2 linked regions of the Drosophila melanogaster genome follow. The protein of the gene in region 1 purifies or fractionates together with the protein of each later gene. This does not show direct contact. Each region holds a gene or a part of one and is shown on either strand. Other genes may lie near its edges.

What was found. The genes of interacting proteins can lie anywhere in the genome.
Region 2: the proteins of Urm1 (region 1) and Prx5 purify together in Drosophila melanogaster (affinity purification with western blotting, with the first as the bait; one study listed by BioGRID). This does not show direct contact.

Annotation. Positions count from the first base shown.
Region 1 is NT_037436.4:7,638,537-7,642,219, forward strand, and holds Urm1 (Ubiquitin-related modifier 1), read right to left. Parts: upstream 1,911-3,683; 5' UTR 1,906-1,910; coding exon 1,868-1,905; intron 1,802-1,867; coding exon 1,734-1,801; intron 1,671-1,733; coding exon 1,589-1,670; intron 1,529-1,588; coding exon 1,480-1,528; intron 1,424-1,479; coding exon 1,355-1,423; 3' UTR 1,275-1,354; downstream 1-1,274. Other genes in the region: Pura (Puratrophin-1-like), read left to right, coding at 1-31, 305-501; CG7506 (uncharacterized protein), read right to left, coding at 2,279-2,491, 2,550-3,047.
Region 2 is NT_033777.3:18,164,708-18,169,930, forward strand, and holds Prx5 (peroxiredoxin 5), read right to left. Parts: upstream 2,567-5,223; 5' UTR 2,472-2,566; coding exon of another isoform or gene 2,424-2,471; intron 2,365-2,423; coding exon of another isoform or gene 2,020-2,364; 5' UTR 1,756-2,019; coding exon 1,648-1,755; intron 1,454-1,647; coding exon 1,319-1,453; intron 1,189-1,318; coding exon 859-1,188; 3' UTR 735-858; downstream 1-734. Other genes in the region: Cbp20 (cap binding protein 20), read left to right, coding at 22-69, 125-342, 467-665; CG7215 (uncharacterized protein), read right to left, coding at 2,020-2,364, 2,424-2,471.

The DNA.
Region 1 (3,683 bases):
TCGACGACCATTGTCAGCCAACTGTCCATGGGTATAGAGCTTGAACTGTGCTACTTCTTCTAGGCCCCCAGATGCATCCCGTAGCTAGTAGTTGATCCCTGTACATAATCTCGAAGAACACCCCAGTATTACTGTATATAATCCCCCACCAACACCAACACAAACACCAAAACCTAACCCGTAATCCGTGCCTGTCCGTGTGCTGCATGTTTTTAGATCCATGTTATATGTTGTTGGCGCTTTGGCGCCACCTGTTCGAATCCGAAATATAATATCCAATATGTGTAAATATCCCCCCATTCAGAGAGCGGCATTGTCTCGGACATGTGCGTTACCCCGGATCAGGAACAATCGGCGGCGGAGAGCAGCCGAAGCAGTTGGTCCACATCAACGACTGGAGCATCCGGAGCTTCAACGACGAGTGCATCCACGGTAATCCTGCGGCGATATCGATCCTACGCCCACGCAGCGGAGTCCGCCAGTCCGGAAAGCGGCAAATAGAGGAGCTCCTGGAGCATCGCATCTAGATATAGTATAAATCCCCATTAATAGCTTTAGCAGAACGGTTTCATCGGATCCCATGTAGTATCATCGTATTACGTTCGATCGCTAATTTTATTTCATTATTTTTGTTATTTATTATTTATTACATTTTTAGTTTTCGTTAATTTGTCATAGTCGCTGCTTTTCGTTTTGCCTTGTTTATCGGAAAAATCAGTCGAAATTATTGAATTCAGCGTGTCAATGTCGAAGCAAGTTTCATACATATCTAGTTCTTAGTCCACACAATCGAACGATCCGCACCACACACACACAGAAATCGATGGGAGCCATGAGCAGCACCCGAAAAAGGGGCGTGGCCGATGCCCAACATATCTGAATCGAACTTCATTACGTACAGTTAGTTGATATGTAACCTAAGTGCCTATAGTTAAAATAATCGTAAACGAACATTAAAAAAATATATCTATACTTCATAATAACTCGATAAATAATTTTAAGCGAAAATTTAAATTCAATAAATGTTGCTTCAATGTAAAACTAACGTGTTGTCCTTACTTCGAATTACCCGCCAAACCGCATCTGGATTGTTCTATTTTTAACTTCCCTACAATTCCCAAGTGCTTGTTCAATGCTGTGCTTTTATAAATAGCGAAAACCTGCTAGCTTACAATCTCTAGATGATATGATGAAAACTTTACTACCCGAACCATCGTGTGGGCCTTTGCCTCTGGTAAAGGGACGTAATTCTGATTCAGTCAAAAACTGTTTTTGTTTGTTTTTTGAATACAATTTAATGGGTTGTAGTATAAAAATAAACTTTTCTCCTATAATTTAGATTCCAGAACGTTTTTTAACCACCGTGTAAAGTTGATATAAACAACACATTGTCGTTGGGCTGCAGCTCGTAGTCCAGTTCACCCTAGAAGTTGAGTTAATTATAGTTTTTAGAATTCCATATTCTGTACTCTTACTTACCAGCAATTCCCAGTCTGTATCATTTATGAGTACTAAAATTCCAGGTCGCCTGAAAACATACAATAGAAAGTATAGACTATGTATCCCTTATAGTTTAAGCCAAACTTACACAGTATCTCCTTGAAGAAAAAGTTCCGGACGCTCCGTTAAAATATTCGCATGCATCCACTTAAGCAGATTAGCAATAGTCCCTTTAAAATATATATAATTCATAACCGATTTCACTCAAGTTTAAAACATCTTTTAGAACATACATTTTTGTTTACCGTCCAAGTTCAATTCACGGCGTTTTATGTTACCAAATAGTAACTCCGCCCCTGCACTACGAAATTAAATTACAAATTGTCTCATTTATTGGAAATAATAATTCGAACAAGGCTTTATATACCTGAATTCTAATATGATTTTTAATTCCGGCGTGCCCATCATATGTTCGATGTAAATAAATGTGTGACCGCGTCTAAGCTTTTCAAAAAAATCCACCATTCAAAAATAATACCAAATATAGAATCCTAATTTCTAAAAAGTCTGGCAACCACATGCTCTAAACTTCCAAAAATTATTGCATTTTGAAAGAAATTATAATTTGTACGTAAATTTACCTTTACCATTCACCTTCGACGAGGGGACTCAGCATTATAATTATTCCCATTGAGAAACATAAACAGGTGGCATTCCAATGGAACGCTAGGTAAAGTTTTCATTAGCATATTATGATCTGTGCTCTAAGAAGACATTTTACATTTCGTTGTGAATTTATGAAATTAAAAAAAACACGTTATCATAAAGAGCGTTTTTTTTATTGCTTCTCCTCGCTCGTTTTCGACTTTTCAGGATTCGGAGTCAGATCCAGTTTGAAATCGATCGGTTTGTCGTAACCCATTATCTTAACATAGTGCTCGGGATCATCGAAAAGCGCTGGATCCACAAACAGAGGTCGTTTGTTGACCAGAAAAGAGGTGAACATGCCGGGAACCTCCGGAACGACCACATCATTTGGTCGGAAAGTAGTCTAAAAGGTAAATAATATGTACATTGAAGGCAAGCTCTTTTAAATTTGCTCTACCCACCTTGATTTTTTGCAGAAGCAGGGATATTGTGGTGGCCGTGTACTCCTCCGTTAGTGGATTGTAGTGCAGCTCCGTCACGTATTTCTTGGTAATAAAGTGCAGCAGCAGAGGAGTCACAAAGGTGAAGAATCCACCGACGGTGCAGAGGAATACGGCCATTCCAGTTCCTCCGATTTTCATTCCCTGCTCGAGAAGAATGGGCTGGGCGGCCAAGCCGGCTAAGCTGGTGCTCAGCGAAAAGAACTTGACCATTTTCATGCGTGGCGCAAGAGTTCCATAGTAGATCCGCTGCAGTGCATCGTCGGATTCAGTTTTCGTCGACTTCACCGAAAGCCACCTGTTTTGCTGGAAGTTCTGTGGTTGTGACTGCTGTGGTCTTGTCCATGAGGCACTAGTAATGCATCTGCAGTTGTGGGGCAGGGTAATCTGACGGCTGACATTTCCCAGGACAACAGCAAAGTGTTTCCCTTTTGGCAGCATCGCTCGCAGGCCTAACATGGTGTAATTTACTTATTTCAGTAGAAATAAACAGCTGTTTTTGCCGAACGTTAAATAACACGAGTTGCAGTGTGGCCCACACTTGGGCGCTAAAAGAATCCAGAAACGATACGTCTATTCAAAATATACCAACTCTCCTTTTGAATACCGAAACAGGAAACGGCAACATTGCACTGACAACGGAAATTTAAATCGATACTGACTATTTTTACTTATTGATACTAAAAACAAATATTAAAAATTTAAAATCCTAAAATTCTAACATTTCTAAGCTAAAATTAATTTACATTAAACCGACCAATATTACAATCTTATAAGATAAGATTCTCTTTAAAAAATACAAAAATAAAAATTAATAATAATTACACTTGTACTTACCAATTAGGAGCTGATTATTTAACACTTATACATCGATTAAAATTCACTTACACTCACGCTTAAAACGGTAGGAAAGGCGTTTGCAAATATTATTCAAAGTGTTGACCTACTTTAGGATATTGCTGCCAAAAAATTCGATTGTATTTCCCAATGATTTTCCAACCAATTCGGAACAATAGAGCTAGTAATTCGGCAAATATTGAGTACGTACTGCAGTTTGTAATTGATTAACAAGAAAAGTGAGTGGGGGAGCTTCCC
Region 2 (5,223 bases), on another chromosome or scaffold:
AATAGTTTGTAGCTGAAAAATATGTTCGCATCTGTGGAATTAAGCTCATATCGCGATCAGCACTTCAAGGTGAGTACATCCGAAGGCGCCACAGCAGATCTCCGACTCAATAAACCAATTGCAGGGCTCGCGCTCCGAGCAAGAGCGATCGCTCCGCGACTCGTGTACACTTTACGTGGGAAACTTGAGCTTCTACACCACCGAGGAGCAGATCCACGAGCTCTTCTCCCGCTGCGGCGATGTTCGTGTGATTGTGATGGGCCTGGACAAGTATAAGAAGACGCCCTGCGGCTTCTGCTTCGTGGAGTACTATGTCCGATCGGAGGCGGAGGCGGCCATGAGGTGAGCCATATCCATCTCTCCACGCTAGAAAAAGCCGCCTTTTTTCCGGCATTTGTAGAAGTAATCAGATGGGGTATCATTATCTCTTAACTAACTTCAACACTCTTTTCTTCTCCCACAAAAGATTTGTGAATGGCACTCGCTTGGACGACCGTCTGATTCGTGTGGACTGGGACGCCGGCTTCGTGGAGGGCAGGCAGTATGGACGCGGCAAAACCGGCGGACAGGTGCGAGATGAATACCGCACGGATTACGATGCCGGCCGCGGGGGTTATGGCAAACTGTTGTCACAGAAGATTGCACCCAACACGGACAATCGCTAGTTATTAGATAAAATGACTGTAAAGACTATAAGCCCCCCAATTAGATATTAAAGCATACCCCTTAGACATAACATCTCTAATCGCATATATATTGTACGTTTTACATAGTTCTTTTGAAGACGTAATTGATATCATTGCGGCCTAGCATTAGCATGTATGAGTTTCTAGTGTTTTCGGGCTGACTGGATTCCATTTACTTCTTGCCAATGTTGTTGGCCAGCGAGCAGCTGAGTCCGGTGCCATCGGGCTCGACATTCAGCTCGGTCACCTTGCCGTTCTCCACCACCAGCGAGTAGCGCTTTGAGCGCACGCCGCCAAGTGGTGGCAGATCGATGGTCACATCCAGGGCCTTGGTGAAACCGCCGGCGGGATCAGCTAGGAGGCGCACCTTGCCCGCGGCTCCGTGCTCCTTGCCCCAGGCGGACATCACAAAGGGATCGTTGACCGAAACGCAGACAATCTCGTCCACGCCCTGCTTGGACTTCAGCTCATCGGCGGAGCTCACATAGCCGGGCAAGTGGGTCTGTGGGTGTGGGGAAATGCATTATTCAGTTGGAATACATAAGCTGCATAAATTACACTATACTGCTGGAAGTTTCTACAATATTCGGAAACTCAAAGCAGATGACTTTGCAACTATGCTACCTACGCACCTTTGAGCAGCCTGGAGTGAAGGCGCCGGGAACGCCGAAGATGATCACCTTCTTGCCATTGACGAGATCGCCGGTGTTGATTTTGTTGGCTGGCGAGTCCTCGAACAGATCCACCGATGGCAGGGAGTCTCCTACCTGGAAATAAAGTGGGAGGCAGACAGGCGTACTTAGAGAAAAGAGGCAGCAAGATGGAGGCGATAACCTTGAAACGCTGTAATTTCTGGGTGCCGCCGCAATCAATATTTATGCAGCTCGGCACCGGCTTATGTAATGGAATCCGGACTGCCGCACAGCCGGAAATCCGCGTTTGCCGGTCAACCTGCACTTACTTTCACCATAGCTGCACTGGTTTTGGACAGGGATCGCAGTGAAATGATTTGTTGGGGCAGCGCGGAGTTAACAACTCGGCCAAGAAATTTGCACGACAGCACACGCATTTCTCCTCTCTTTCTTCTTCTCACACACACAGGCACGCACGCACACAGCCAAAGACTGCAACTGGCCGGTGGAGCGTTGCCAGACCGTCGCAAAAAAGAATATGGGCCGTGTGTTTTCAGTCAAGTCTTAATTTTTACTACCTCATATTTTTTAGTTAGTTTGTTTTTTTAAAGGGGGGAAATAAAAATATTATGCTGTAAGGATAGACTTCCATCATATTTTTGGAGGGGGTGGTGGTGGTTGGTATTGGGTCTTCAATGGCGCTATGTGGCCGCTCTGTTGACTATGCTGTCCGCCAGTCTCTCCAGGTCGTCCAGGCTCTGCTCGTTGATTTTCCGCTCGAAGTCGGCCATAAACTCATTGGTCATACGCTCAGCTAGGGGCTCCGAATAGTGCTTGCGGAATCCCCGCAGGATGCTGTCCCTTAAACAGGGCTTTATCACCACCAGATTGAGTTTGGTGCCCTCCTTGATGTTGGGATATGACGCAATTGTCTGTTCATTGTTAAGCGGTCGCCCCAACAGCAGTAGCTTTTGATTTGTAGCCGATATCTGCAGTTCCGCCTCGATCTGGTGTTTCACCTCCAGAATCGTCGATGTCGGCGCCACCTGTGTGAAATATTACCATATTAGCGACCTCACTTGATTTTGGCAAGGTTCATTCTTACCTCGATGGTGCAGTCCTTGCCCTTCAGCACCTTGATTGTTATCTGCATAGCAATTGCCGTAAAATTTATTAAAAAATTAAAAGTCAAACTCGAGAAGTCGAGCGATATAAACAATCTGTCTTTGGCGTTGCCACCTGTATTGCCACCAAGTGTCATTAGGCCAAGCGGCCCTGGTTTGTAAAACAAGTGCCGCAATATTTGCTAATATATAATTTACAAAAATATTTCCTTATATTAATATATAGTACATATATATGATTCTTGTAAATTGCCAAATGTTATTTAAAATTATTAATATTTTAATGCAGCTAGCACAAATTATGTACAAGCTATCGAAAACCACTCGAAGTTATTATTTTACAAAATTAAAGAATAATGTGAGATCAACAATTAAATAACAGTTTGTAAACATTCGGTTTATTATAATTAATAATGATCTTTAAGTCTTTCGCATTTGGCAATAAGACAGTAGAGGAGAGTAAGGTATAAAGATAGTAAATATAAATAAGTAAATAGCATAAGCAAAAGCTCGTTTTAGCTTTTAAACGGAGTCGGTAAAATCTTCCTAAAAGTAACTATCGAGGGTCGGCTGGGTCAGGCAACGCCGCCGCACGCCTGCAGCCCTGGTAACTCTATTTTCTATTGAGCACCGACAACGTTGCGTGTATAAGACAGTTTACATAAATTATTATTTACAATTGCACAGAGCGTTGATGTTGTGCGTTCTAAGCGAAAAGGTGAACTTGACCCCGGTGCCGATAGACCGCCGAGCTATTGGGTGTGAAATTCGCGAGCGAGCCTTGTGGAATTCGCACGCGAAAATCGAAGCGAATCGCAGCGATCGAAGAAATTGCAGCGCAAATAATTCGTGTAGCCTCGACGACTGAATTTTAACGCGAGAGCGGGGTGTGCGTGTGTGTGTGTGCGCTGTGCTGTGATTCTGTGTGCGTGTGCAAGCGTTTTTGTTAGAATTCGCATTTTACGCAAAGAACTAGCTTTTATCAGCAGTGAACTTGATGTTGGCGAACCTATATCGCAGCAGGGCCAAATTGAACAAGTTCTTGCAGCTTCTGGCGGTAAATTGGCGAAATAAGACCCATTAAAAACCCCCCTCTGAAAATATAACCCACAAATTAACCTCGCCCCTTGACATTCAAAGTTATATTTGTTTCCCCACTTATATATGTGCACATATATATATATAAATATATATATATTTAATAATAATTGTGTGTTTGAGTCTTGGAAGTGCAACTACAACTATTAATCGTGCCTAGTACACATTTTACTTTTACGCTCTCGACTGTCTCCGTCTCTCTCCCTCTCTGTTTCACCCCTTCCTTGCAACAACAAAACTTATGAGTACTTGCTGGGTGCCCCAACAATACTTGTGTTGATGATTGCCCATCCTTGCACCTCCAAAAAGAAATGAAAAAAAAATTTGAAAAACACCAACACCACCCAAAAGCGCTCTTCCTTCCCCATTTCTATTGGCATGTCTGGCAACCCTGGCAATTGGTCGACGGCCATTGCTTCTCAACTTGTTGCTCGTCTCGCTTGCTCTCCTCTCTCTCTCTACTCTCTTTTCAAGTACGCTCTCTCTGCGCCAGTGTTTTGGCATTTTTGTTACTTATTTTCGTTTCGAGTATAGTTTTATGCGAAATGAACAATGCCAAACAATGAAACGCCTGAAGACCTGCATAAAGTGTTGATGCTAACATTTAAATGGGAATCCGAAATTCCACATCACCGACAACACCTGTCCACTTGGAAGTTACAGCACTAATCGGAGGAACGCTGCATGAACGTGTTTTCGGTACCGTTTAGAACCGGATTTTCTATGCTAGAGAATGAGAATATGATCGCGGTTCTGTGGGGACATCTTGTGACAACTTAGGAACTCCGATACGAAGCGGTTTTCCGCCATTAAGGCATTTCCAATTGGAAAGCGCGCAGCGAGAGATTCTTAAAGGTTGCTCCGTTTCCCATTGGTAATGTGTTGTTTACAGTTATGGTTAAGTTAATAGCAGCGTGTTTATGTAATATATAGATAATTCGAGTTATGCACGTTCCACTGTACAGTGATCAAAGGGAAAAGAAACAGTATTGGAATTTCCATGAAGTTGCATAACAAATGAGGAATAGTAGTGATGAGAAGATTCGTGGTAGATTTCAGTAAACCCTTAATTTACGTTGAGCGCCCCTCGAATGCGAATGTTAATGCGTGTGTGTGTGTGTGTGTGTCTGCTTGAGTGTGTTGTTTTGTGGCTTAATTGCACGGTGTGTTGTGATGCTATTGTTATTTTTCCTTTAGTTATTGCTACGTTAATTTTTTTCTTTCGACCCTCCACAGTGCAAATATAATTTTCAGATAGCAATCAACTGAGAGCGGTCCAGCCCGGCCTGTTGTATTTGTTTGTTTGTCCGGTTGTTTACGTTTTTTTCTCTCGTTCTCGCTGCTTTTCATACGTATTTTATATTTTGTAAAAATAAAAAATCGTTATAAAAAACCAAAAACACACATAGAGGAGAGCACATCCAAAGAGCCAAAAAGAGTCAGAACCGATTGCGTATTATGGATAACGAGGCGTTAGATCCAACAATAAAAAGCAGTACGTCGGCAGCGACGCCAACAGCAGCAGCATCAGAAACGACAACAACAGCAGCATCTTCAGTTGTGGAAACCACAACAACAATCGCGGCGGCCACAGCCTCAGCGGCAGAATCAAAAAACGAAACAACGGCCACAAACAACAATAGCAACACAAGCGGCAGCATCAGCAGTAGTAGCAGCAACAAT